2 linked regions of the Drosophila melanogaster genome follow. The protein of the gene in region 2 interacts with the protein of the main gene of each other region in a pairwise test. Each region holds a gene or a part of one and is shown on either strand. Other genes may lie near its edges.

Region 1 (5,168 bases), 5.6 Mb from region 2:
GAGCTAAGTGCCCATGTAAAGCGCATGCATGCGGCAGACTTTACGCCCATCATATGCGACATATGCGGTACACACTTCAGGAGCAAGGCCAACTTTCTCATCCACAAGAAGGCGTTGCATCCGGACGGGCCGGTGGCGGAGGTGCAGTGTACCCTGTGCGGCCGCTGGCTGCGGGACGAACGGAGCCTGCGCAAGCATCTGGCACGCCACGATGACCGCGACGGCGACACCAAGTACCGATGCCTGCTCTGCAATGCAGAGAAGTCATCCCGTGCCGCACTCAGCAGCCACATGCGGTACCATCACTCCGCCAAGCGGCACAAGTGCAGTCTCTGCGACAAGGAGTTCAAGCTGCCGCGGGCATTGGCCGTGAGTTGACCAGCGTATCAGATTCTGATCGTGCTAATCCCGGAACGTTTTCATTACAGGAGCACATGGCCACTCACACGGGCATCGATCTGTACCAATGCCAGTTTTGTACGCGCACCTTCAAGTCTCATGCCAACATGCACAACCACAAGAAGAAGATGCATCCCAACGACTGGGTGAGAAAGTACTCGCAGCCCAGCAGTAGCATTACCTCCACAGCGGCTCCACTTGCTCATCCCAATCATCCTAACCAGCCTGCTCCTCCAGCGGCAGCTCCGACTAATCTAGCCGGGCACATGCTGCCGCCACTCGGTGGCATTGCCAAGTCGCTGATTGAGATACCCGATACCGAGGGCTTCGATTTCGGCAGCAACAGCTCCGTGTGCCCCACGCCCGACTGAATCTGTGTGTTGTGTGTCTGTGTTTGGTGTCTGTCCCTGCGACTTTGTGTACACGTTCCCTGGTCGGGATTTATGTATAAAATCGTACAAATAAACTTTATTAATATACAAATCCAATGACGCTGAGTTAAAGTTAGGATTCGTCCTCTGGCTCATCGGGTTCCTCCTCAATTTCCGTGAGAATGGTGCGTATCTTCATAAGCAGCTCCTTTTTGACGGCATCCGGGACCAGGGTGCGTGCCTTGGGTGTTACCTCGGCGATCAGCTGCTCTACGGTGAAGCTGTTGTTGGTGCCCTTCTCCATCAGGATGTTGCGGCACATCAGACGCACCTCGTCCCGCCAGCCACATTCCGTAAGGCGGCTGCAGAGCAAATCCTTGATCTTGGAACGGTCGCCGGTTAGCACCGTGTACTGATCAACTGCGCCGGAAGTGCTCATCCTTGTGTCGCGTATCTAAGTCTTGCAAATTACCAAGTTTCCTTTTTCGAGTCCTTGTCGATTTCGCAGCGTCTGTTTTTTTGCTTTTCTTCGCTGCATCTATCTTTTTGAGCTGTGTTTTTGTTTTGTTGTGTTGTGATGTTGGTACAGTGGTCATGGCAAACAGTCTGGCTACTTTGTAGCTAGTTTTTAGATACGGACATTAATCAACTTTAAAGAAATGAAAATATATTACCAAATATATGTAAAGTTTTAAAAATTTTTAGTTTAAATTGGAATGTATGCACAATTCGTATGTTTTCGGTCATTTTCCTGGGTCACTTAAAATTTAAGCTGCTTTTAAGCGCCCACTCTGGCATCTCTGTCGCTCGAAGTTTATTCAGCCTGGCAGTCTGGCAACACCTCGGCGACGTCTTAAACTGAATTTGCGAGGCAATTAATTGAATTAATTGCTTTTCCTACAGCTGTAGTGCAATGATATGCCGCCTGTGCCTGGACGATGCTGAGCACAGTGTGCCAATCTTTGACCAGGATGACTCCGGCGATCAGCCAGTGCCCTCCAATCTAGCGGAGCTAATTGAGAAACACCTGCAGTTGGTGGTAAGCAGTGAATTCCGTTTGAACCACCAACATTTGTTAATGACCAGATTGCATCCTTGTTACCAGCTCCTGCCCAACGATGGGGTGTCCAAGAGCCTCTGCACCCAGTGCTGGCAGCAGTTGGCCGACTTCGAGCAGTTCTGCGCCATGGTGATGAAGAAACAATTGGGCCTGCAGCAACTGAAGATGGAGCCGTTCTCCGAGGACGAGGATGCGGACACTAAGGCGCAGATCCTGTGCGAACCGGAGATCGATGTGAGTCCCGCGGCCGCCGACAACGAAGAGTGCAACGAGATCGACGGCGATGCCAGCAGCAACAGCAGAAGCAGTAGCATTCGCACCACATCGCTACGAGAAATGCGCCTGCCGTCGCCCATTAGACGCCGTATGCGTCTACCCCGGGCAGTCACAGCACCCAAAACTCAGGCTGTCAAGGCCAAGGCCAGGACGAAGACCCACAAGGCCGAGGCGGACGAGGATGAGGATGCCGAAGGCGAGGGCGATCCAGAGAGCCGCAGCAGCAATAGCCGCGAAATGGACAGCTATATCGCTCTGCACGGTCGTTTGGAGTGCTGCATTTGCGGCGGCGACGAACAGTTTCCCAATTTCGCCGAGATGAAGCGGCACTTCCGGAATCATCACCAGTCCCTCGGTTATGTGGTCTGCTGCCAGCGGCGCTACAAGAAGCGTGCCCTCTACGTGGACCACCTGCACATGCACAACGATCCGAATTACTTTAGGTACTTGACCAGCCCAGGCAATTGATTGAATCCCCCTACTAATGAATGAACTGTGCAGGTGCAAGATCTGCTCCAAGCAACTGGTCAGCCGGATTAGCTACGATGTACACATGCTACGCTTCCATCCCAACAAGGACGACCTAAGCTTCGCGTGTGATCAGTGCTCAAAGCGGTTCTCCAAGCAGTTCCTTCTCACCATTCACTCCAGGGTGCACCAGCAGGAGCGCAATGAGCAGTGCAAGCACTGCGACAGATCGTAAGTGTAGGCAGCAAGTAGAAGAGCGAATTGATGAATTGCCTCTATCCGCCCACAGCTTTCGCACCGCCGTTGACCTGCGGCTGCATATGCGACGCACCCATGACCCCGCCTTCGTACCCTTCATCTGCGACTCGTGCGGTGCCAAGTTCAAGACGAAACAGAACCTGCTAGTGCACAAGCGGACTGTGCATCGCGAGGGCTCCCAGCTGCCCGAGGTACAGTGCCAGGAGTGCCAGGTGTGGCTGTCCGACGAGAACAGTTTGCGCAAGCACATGTACATGCATCTGGATGCCGCCTCGCTGCGTCAGTGGAAGTGCGAGCAGTGCGGCCTGGAGAAGGGTTCGCGGGCCAAGCTGGCGGCCCACATACGCTATCATCATCCGAAGGAATACCACAAGTGCACGCACTGCGCCAAGGAGTTCAAGAGCAGTCGCAGCCTCGAGGAGCACACAGCCACGCATACCGGCCAGGATTTGTACGAGTGCGCCTTCTGCGAGCGCACCTTCAAAAACTCGGGGAACATGCACAAGCACCGCCGCCAGATGCACGCCGCCCAGGTGGCCGCCCTGCAGCAGCAGAAGAAGGTGCCGCCCAGCAAGCGCAAGGACAAAGGTGACCTGCTGCTCGACGTCCTGGCCGCTGGAGGCAAGGATATGAGCCACGTCATGGGTGCGGGCGACATGAATGACTGATTGATTCTAAAAACCAAATAAACTAGATTGGAATGACACATAAAACACATTTAATTCGAAATAAGTTTGGGTATTATTAGCTTATAATATTCAAAAGTGTATTTTGCAATTGGAACGAATTTGGAATCCCGCTATTTTCGGATTCATGCAGTTCCCATTATATTTTATTCGGTATTGGAATCCCGCTATTTTCGCATTCATGCAGTTCCCACTATATTTTATTCGGTATTTTCGCAGTCATTAGTGTGGCCAAAACTCGAAAATATCAAGGGCTAGAGCAGCTAGATGTTGCGGCATTCGCGGCCTGGTCACACTAAGCTAGGGCTACTTTTTATATCATAAGTCGAGCGTTTAGGTAAGCGAAACAAAAAGAGCTTTAGTTAGAGGTATTAGTTTGGTTGCTATTATTTCTAAATTGAAAACTTCACTTCCTTTGATCCAAAAGACACTGAAAAGACACGTTTGCAGTTGAGTTCATTATTTTCTGGTATACATACACACTGATTACTCATTCAATTGGCATTTTGCTCTTGTTTTTCTCCGATTGCCTTGCACTCGCATAAATTTAACACAAAAAAGAAGTTCGGGGTGTTTAGAATCCATCCACTTGGTACAGTTCCCATCGAGCTGGTGAGTACTCCGCGCAGTGCAACGTATACACACTTGAACTCGAATTCTGGCAGCAAAATGGTGGTGACCTATTAATAACACCCGCTCAATTTTCCCTCGCTTTTCCATTCAGTCTCCAACTAGCTGCAAGTGAGTACGTTACTTCCGAGATCCTCTCCAAAAAAATAAAACATAAATCCAAATCCAACCAGTGTAGCATCCATTGAATTAGATTTTCCGACACGTTGCGCCTATGACAATCCTAATTCCATCCTCTTCTCTTTCGTTTAGGTAGCTCGGATGGCCATCGAAAGGGTAAATTGGTGTTACATATAGCTTTAGAGATCGTTTCGAATCACATTGATAATCGTTCGAAACGTTCTCCGAAGCAAAATCAAGCAAGAGTAACGATTTCCGCATAGTCGAAAATGTTTAAGTTGAATTGTCTTACGGACAGTGAGATGAGTACGACTATTTGGAAATCACAAACGAATTGTTTTCATGGTTGACGCGCTTGTCAAGCTACAAAACAAAATGAATGATATACAATATACAATATACAATATGCAATACAATACAATACAAGACAAAAAAATGTGTCTTGGAACGCAACATTGTACAAGTCGCAATGCAAACTGAAGTCTTAAAAGACGTGTAAAATGTTGCAAATTAAGCAAATATATATGCATATATGGGTAACGTTTTACGCGCCTTAACCAGTCAAAATACAAAATAAATTGGTAAATTTCATATAACTAGTGAAATGTTATACGAAACTTAACAATTGCCAAATAATACAGATCGATTTAGAGCGAGATGACAATAGAGAGGCGATCTCTCTCGTATACGAGTCTTGAAAAGAAAGAGAAGGCGAACGGTGCTGGCTTAGAGAGAGATGGCAATACTAATTAACTGCAAATACATTTCCGCCATTTTGTTGGCGCTAAAAGTAACGGAAATTCGAGATGCTTTTAGGGCTGCCACCTTGGTTTCCAGGGTGACCAGAACTGACACTTAAATTACATATGACAAATAAAGACTTATCTGCTATTGCAAATA
Region 2 (7,842 bases):
GAGGATCGGGAGGGAGCAGGACCACTTGCAGTCTGGAGTGGATTGGATGCTTATTAATTCATCACACGTTTCAGCTTTGCGTCGACATGCGATGGGAATGTCATCGACGACCAATGACCAAAGCCTTTAAACAAATTGGGAATTACAAAGTGCTTTGAGGTATAAATATCAGAAACACTCGAGTATCAATTCACCAGCTGTTTACTTGGTATCTGAGTAAAAGCCATAGTATCTATGAGTTATGTGAGAAATCATGAAGCCTGGAAATGTCAATAAAGTCTAGAGTCTAAGTCTAAAACTAAGGTCTATAAACTACAAAGTAAAGATAGTTACATAAAGCTTAGAAAACTTTTAACTTTGTATATGCACATGCGATAGATACTTTTTTGCTTTGCTTGCCTGATTACACCATAACTTTCTCAGATCTAGATACATGATCTTTTTAATCGGCTCGCTATTTCCCAGAATTGGAGGTCCCAGCTCAGCTGAACAGCCTGATTATGTCTATGTGCCGGAGGAATAAACTGCGCTGAATGGTTAGTGAAGGGACTAGAATCGTAACGGAGTCCGATGGGATCCGATCGGATCGAATGGGATCGGATCGGGATGGTATAGGATGGGACAGGGGCACTAAGACAAAAGAGACGATGACGCGGCGACGAAGGAGCAGAGCTGGCGGAGCAGCAAGAAGACAAACGTGGCGGCGACAACGGAGCAAGTGACAAACGTTTAGATGGATGGATCGTTCTTCATTTCGGGGGAACGAGAACTGAACTGAACCGAACAGAACCGAACCGGACCTCTAGAACGGGCGGTCAGTAACCAACCGAAAAAAAAAAGCGACGATTGCACATAAATTATATTCAAATTTCTTTGAGATCTAAGAGATATATAAAATACGGGAAAAACACACACATGCCACATGAAGTCACATGAATGGTCGGCGACCCCGAGACCCACGATCCTGGGTCTGAAAACCGAAAAACTGGAAAAAAAAATAAAAAAACTGTGTAGTTCTCCTTGTTGTGGCCTTTTTTTTAGTTTCCTCTGTTTGTTGAAATTTATGCAGATATGCGCGCATCTAGATAGGAGTTCCAGTGCCACCTCCATCTATCTGGTTACGTGGAAATCCAGCGCGCCAAAAATCAGCCAAATGCCATGGAGTGGTGAGGAGCACCTGGCATCGTCGTTCTCTCTAAAATGGTATCCCATCCAATCGTATCCCATTCATTGGGGCTCCATTAAAATTCGGCTGACAGCAACGATTCACGGCCCCAACAAATTGGAATGGGCTGAATACTATTTAGATATGGCTAGATCTGCTCAAACTGCCACTGATTGATGTCAATAAAGCCGAACAAAAGACCTAACAGCCAACAAAAGATACAGTGGGCCTTCGTTAAGTGGCCAAAATTAGTTTAAAGGGCCATCTAATTGATCATATTCGATATATAGTTTTTTTTAAGTATTTCGCTGTATATATTTCCTAACTTATACGTTTTTTAAAACTTTTAGTTCACTGCATCTCTTTCCATATATGTATGTATCTTAAACATTTTGTATCCATACCTTGCAGATACGTCTTTAGATACTTCCGTCACCATGGGATGCTTGACCCCTTTTTTCCGCTTCCTTCTGCGAAAATTCTGCTGGTCGTCGGCAATTGTGTTCGGTTTGTGTTTTGCCTCCACTCGAATTAGTGGCTGCGTTTGGGATTTGTCTAATTGGAGGAGGCGACGGGCGCTTTGATCTTGCCACATGTCCATCAAGTACACTACATATATGTATGTATACACGATGTACATATTATTATATGGTATATAAGACGTACGGAGAGGGGGAAAGGCGGTAACCGAGAACGGAGGAAGTTGCTCGCTTGGAACTGAGAGCGCTGTCAGAAATTGCCAACTGGCACATTAATCCACGCGACATATTTATGAGTGTAAATGTATCTGTGTATCCGCGAGATGCGAGATATAAAGATATCGGCCGGCAAACGTGGGACATGGACGAGGGTTGCTCGTTGCTCGCTGCTCTTTGCTAAATGAGTGCACATTTCAGATAAATTATTGCACACAACTTGTACGCGATGGCAGGCCGAAATGTATTTAACAAATTAAATTTACACACAGATACACACACCGCGGCTCGCAAGACTTCAAAGAGGGCGCCGCAGCGTAACGGCCGCCAAATGGGGCGTGGCCTCGACGGGCCAATGGCAACGCGCCGCTCTCACAGATACACAAGCAGGCAACCCCATAGATACACCCATACGCATGCAGGCCAGAGAGACAGACAGAGAGCGTATTTGTTTTTAGTACACGCAGAAAAATGAAGTTCTGTTTGTGTTTTTTATTTTAATGTTAACTAGTAATTTTAGTCAGAACCTTAAGTAGGGAATTATATTAAATCAAATAACCGAACTATTTCTTCTTTGAAAAATATAACATTTGTGATAAGAAGAAGTGGCTCTTTGCTACAACAACTAAGAAAGAGTTACTATTAGAATTGTATCTATAACGTTTAAAGTGCCTAGATTTTTGTCAAAGTGCATCTGGCAGATACGACAGATACGCGGGGCCTGTGGCGAGTATCTCATCGATTTTTTAAGCGTCGGAATGCGTGGCACGAGACAGAGACCCCTGTCACGTGACAGCACCGACATGTATCTGTATCTTTGTGTGTGCAGCTGTGTGTATCTGAGCCTGTGAGTCCCATTCATGCCACTGCCACCGAGATGGCGGATTTGTTAGATACTGGCATGGATATTGAGATACTTCGCTGCAGCCGGGCCAAACTGCACTTTCAGCGCTTTTTTTTTTATCTGCCCGAAGCTGTAAATATCCGCGAGATTTACAACGCCAGCCAGCCGCGACTTCGGTATCGGTATCAGTATCGTTTGGCTGACTTCGATTCGTACTCGGAATCGGCATCGGCATCGGCAGCGGCATCAGGCTGGGGGTATCGCTATTGAGCGCAGCGCATCATTCGGTCAGCAATTCGCCAATGCAGATACTGTATCTGCGGGCAGCAGCTACTAAAATTGAAGAGCCAAAAGCTAAAATACCCATATACATACTCGGTACACCGCGGTCATCGTCGTCGTCGTGCTCCACTTGTGCCCATTGTTGGTTCTGCTGTCACCGTAACTCACAATTGAATTGTTCCTTTGTTCTGTCCCGTCCAGAAGGAGACCCGCTGCCGAATTTCGCATAATTGGCTGGCTTTTAAGTTGGCCGCCAGACCAAGTGTCGCCGGTAAAAAGATACATCTACAGATAGATCGTTGTACTTTTGGTACTTTTGGAGCTTGGTGGAACTCGAACTGAGTACCATGCTGGTGCCGCCGGACATGATGGCCGCCCAGACGCGCATGGTCTATCAGATGAATCGATTCTGCACGGAGAGGGTTCAGGCCAGGATGTACAAGACGGCCACCGCCATCCGGGAGATCTGCAAGATCGTCCAGGACATCCTCAAAGAGGTGGAACTGCAGGAGCCGCGATTCATCTCCAGCCTCGTCGAGTGCAATGGCAGGTAAACTTTTTCAGTATCTTTTCATTAGTATCTCAGTATCTTTTCTTTAGTTTCTTAATAACCATATATTAATAACTATATTACCTAATGTTAAGCCGATGCATAAGTTAGCTAATAAAAACGAGAGCTGCTCATCCGATCAGAGATGTCTAGTGTTCCCAACCACAGAGCCATCAACAAGATATCTGGGTAATTCCAGTGCCCTGATGACTGTCATCGCGGCTACTTCTCACTCCAGTAGTTCCACACCATTGCAATCAAATCCGATCCTCTTCACTCCATTGCGATCATTACAACCAAAGTGCAGAGTCATTGTCAGTTAACTGACAAGTCATGCTCATCGAGGTCTCGCCACCAGAAACGGAGTAGCAGTCGCCCCCTATTATACTCATTTCAACACGATAAACTATCAGATTAATATATAGATTTAAAAATATATATATAGTATTGTAAGTAAGCGGTTTCATCGAAATAGTTAACATCACTTTTACAGATTCGAGGGCGTTGAAGTGATATCCCCGAATGAATTCGAGATAGTGCTGTATCTGAATCAAATGGGTGTCTTCAATTTCGTGGACGATGGCACCTTGCCGGGATGTGCTGTTCTGAAGCTGAGCGATGGAAGGAAGCGGTCCATGTCCCTGTGGGTGGAGTTCATAACGGCCAGTGGTTATTTGTCCTCCCGGAAGATCCGTGCCCGTTTCCAGACTCTGGTGGCCCAGGCGTGCGATAAAAGTGTCTACCGCGACATGGTCAAAATGGTGGGCGACACCAGCGAGGTGAAGTTGCGCATTCGGGAGCGATTCGTGGTCCAGATTACGCCGGCATTTAAGTGCTCAGGCATCTGGCCAAGATCGGCGGCCCACTGGCCGGTACCACATCTCCCGTGGCCACATCCCAACATCGTGGCGGAGGTCAAGACCGAGGGCTTCGATCTTCTGTCCAAGGAGAGCGTCATCATGCAGAACAAGAACAACAATGCCGCCAGCATGGAGGGCGATGCCTGGGTGCTCAGCTTCTTCGAGGCCGAAAACCGTCTGCTGCAAGGTAAACATCTTATGGATACACCTTTACACTTACAGAAAAGATCACACAATTTACTAGCAACTTTTAGTATAGTTTGGGAATTTGAAATCTGGTGTATTTAAATCTCATATTGAATTCCTTTCAGGTGGCTGTCGTCGACGTTGTCTGAGCATGCTGAAGACCCTGAGGGACAGGCATCTGGATTTACCAGGCAATCCCATCAGTGCGTATCACCTGAAGAACCTGCTGCTCTACGAGTGCGAGAAGCATCCGCGGGACTTTGAGTGGGACGAGGGCTGCATCGCTGACCGCATCAATGGGATATTCCTGCAGCTGATATCCTGTCTGCAGTATCGCCGTTGTCCCCACTACTTCCTTCCCGCACTGGACATGTTCAAGGGTAAATCCCCCAGTGCTTTGGAGCAGGCGGCCAAGCAGGTGTGGCGCTTGACCCGCGAGCTCCTCACAAATGCCAACGCCTTTGAGAAGTTGTAAGGTGTCAGAGGTTAAAGGTCACGACTGGTCGATAATGGCGATGACATTTTTGGCAGGAATTTATAATTATTAACCGCACTCATAGAGTGAATATTGTTCTTATTTTTTTACCCGTTAGATTAGATTCTTTTGCTCCATTCACATATTGTTGATTTGACTAACTTCTTCTTGCAGTCACGCAAATATCGACCCATCCGAAGTCGGGGGAGTGCTGATGTGTATGAGGTGCCAGGCAAGTCGGAGATGAAAGGTACATATGCGAATAAATACATACGCATAAGCACAGCTCCTTGGCGGCCATTTTGTGCCATGTCTGTGTATATGTGACTGTCTGCGTGCGTGCGCGTGTGTGTGTGTGTGTGTGCGAAAGTGTTAATGCGAAGATGCGAGATAAGTCCACTCCCCATTCGACTCGACTCGACTCGACTCAACTCGACTCGATGCGATTCGAGATATATATCTGCCCATCCAAGCGATCCGGCTAAGCCTCGAATATTGTTTTTAATAACTCGCCCCTCGACGCTCACGACACATCCTTTGTTTGGCCGGCGAACAATGGACTCGCCGGTTCGCAAGTCCGGATGGAAAAATCGAAAAATCGAGAGAATGAAAAAAGAGCATTTGTCCAGGCGGCTCCTTTTACACGGTGGCTATACACACTCGACGTATACGATTGTTTCACAGTTCGCAGATCCTAGATCAAAGCAAAACGAACATACAAAAAATATATAATATATACATATAGCGCTAGAACAGAGGGAGATACAGATTCCATTGATCGTTCCAAGTCCAACTTAACATTGTTTTACTACTTACATATACATATACACATATTTATGTATGTCGATGTCTATTATGCGATGCCTAACATTTACCACGATTATCCGCAGTTTGTTTTAAGTACAACATAATCCTAGATTGCTAATGTAAAAAATGCTTGAATAAATTCAAGGATAGCCAAAGGCAACACTCCAGGTATTGTTTTCCTATCAATAGGGATTGTATTTTAAATCACTTGATTGCTTAGCAAATACTTACACAACACTTGCTGAAAGAACATGGAGAGTTAAAAAATGGATGTTCTTAACTGATATTCATATATTTAAATGAGGCTGACAAACGGAAGATGTACCACAAAAAAAGGACAAATCTGGAAAGGATGTGCTGGGATCTCATTAGTTCGATCGGCGGTTGAGTTAATGTTATGATTATTGGCAGTGGCGAATATTTATTTGCAAACGACGACATATCTGGATCTGGATGTGGATCGGAATCGTCTTGGGATCTGAGGCTGGGAAGATGCAGCTGCTGCAGCGACAACTGAGCATCACTTTTATTACCCTTATTTATGGTTATTTTCTGGCGGGGGCTGGATCCACGAAAACCGAGTGGTTTGCCTGCTTTGTTCTGCGGTTCTTTTGTCCCTTCGCTTTACTTTATTATTTTTCGTTTTTTTTTTTCTTTCTTTCTTTTTTTTTGGATTTTTTGCGGAACGAAAACTTTCAGCGAATGTAATCGATATTTTCCTCGATGGACGCGTCGACAAAAGGTGTCTCTAAACGGAGAGCACGGGATATAATCAGCGTCAGCACAAAGAGCCAGTTGGTCGGAGCGATTCGAGTCCAAGGATATGCCAAGGATATAATAATGCGTGGGCCAAAATAACAAATTATGCCAAGGCACGCAGGGATCATGTTACGCAGCCCTCCATCACCAGCAGTAACCCCTGTGCCACTAACCCTCGACTGGGTGGCTTTGGCTGTGGCTCTAGCTTTGGCTGTGGTCCTGTTCTTGGTCCTGGGAAAAGCATCATCAGGTGACCGAATCGGTATCCGAGTCCGCAGGCGAATCCTCCGCAGGATGCGCACTTGGCCGCCAGCGGGAGGACACGTGACTGCCTGTTTTCCTTAATTTTCATTCACTTTGTGGGTGGAGATGCGACCAGAACCATGTGCCAGTTGCTTCGCATCGATAAGGCACGATTCCCATTGCCCCGTTGACAAATGGTATTCGAGAGGCCATTTAATGGGGGCCAACAGTTAGAGCTCAGTTCGAAGTACCAGGAACCATGACGCAGCACCTGCCCATTCACATGGCCAAGTCCCAAAATCATCCTGATCCCGGGCAGCCTTCTCATTTGATCGGCTGTCACAACTTTGGCGAAGCCACAACAAAATATTGTCGCTTTTCGCCGCTGGATTTTGGTTTGTACACAGATACCCTGGGAATTTTTGAGCATGCTTATAAATCTATCAAAATTGTGAAAACTTTGTGAGTGTGACTATGTCCCTTACATGGATGAAAATTTTAAAATTACAATAGAATTTGATTTAAATAATTGAATGGAAATAGTTTTATTTCACTTCATTTATTTTTTCCAAACAGGATATCTAATGTTCGAATCTTGCGAGTCAATGCTCGTCAGTTTTTTTCCTTTTTGTTTTTCTCGTTGACATTTATGCGCACCCGCCCTCCAGTTTTCGTAGCTCCTGACTCCGTATCCTTCCGTCGAGACCTGCCACGCCCCCAGGCGACTCGTGGGCGGTGACAGGCGACTTGCTATTGCGATGGCGTCGCATTGTCCTGGCATTTCGGGCTTCTGTTTTCTGGGCTCTGGGTTGCGTTTTCTGGCTTTGTCGCATGGCTTCGAATGGCATTTCTTTGTTTTAATTGTTCACTAATGATATTTAAATTAGGGCTCTAAGTGACCGCGGGCGGTTTTCTGCTATCCTGCTCCTTCGCCCAACCCCATCATCCATTATCCTTTTGCGCCTTTTGTTTTTGT

What was found. Proteins that work in one complex are often made in the same cells at the same time.
Region 1: the proteins of CG4766 (region 2) and CG11695 interact in a two-hybrid assay, tested with the Drosophila melanogaster proteins (2 studies listed by BioGRID).

Annotation. Positions count from the first base shown.
Region 1 is NC_004354.4:11,575,270-11,580,437, forward strand, and holds CG11695 (uncharacterized protein), read left to right. Parts: upstream 1-1,613; 5' UTR 1,614-1,683; coding exon 1,684-1,809; intron 1,810-1,875; coding exon 1,876-2,549; coding exon of another isoform or gene 2,550-2,574; exon of another isoform or gene 2,575-2,607; coding exon 2,608-2,805; intron 2,806-2,863; coding exon 2,864-3,500; 3' UTR 3,501-3,537; downstream 3,538-5,168. Other genes in the region: CG11696 (uncharacterized protein), read left to right, coding at 1-369, 429-770; e(y)2 (enhancer of yellow 2), read right to left, coding at 904-1,209.
Region 2 is NC_004354.4:5,995,688-6,003,529, reverse strand, and holds CG4766 (uncharacterized protein), read left to right. Parts: upstream 1-2,732; 5' UTR 2,733-3,333; coding exon 3,334-3,536; intron 3,537-4,029; coding exon 4,030-4,583; intron 4,584-4,707; coding exon 4,708-5,057; 3' UTR 5,058-6,022; downstream 6,023-7,842.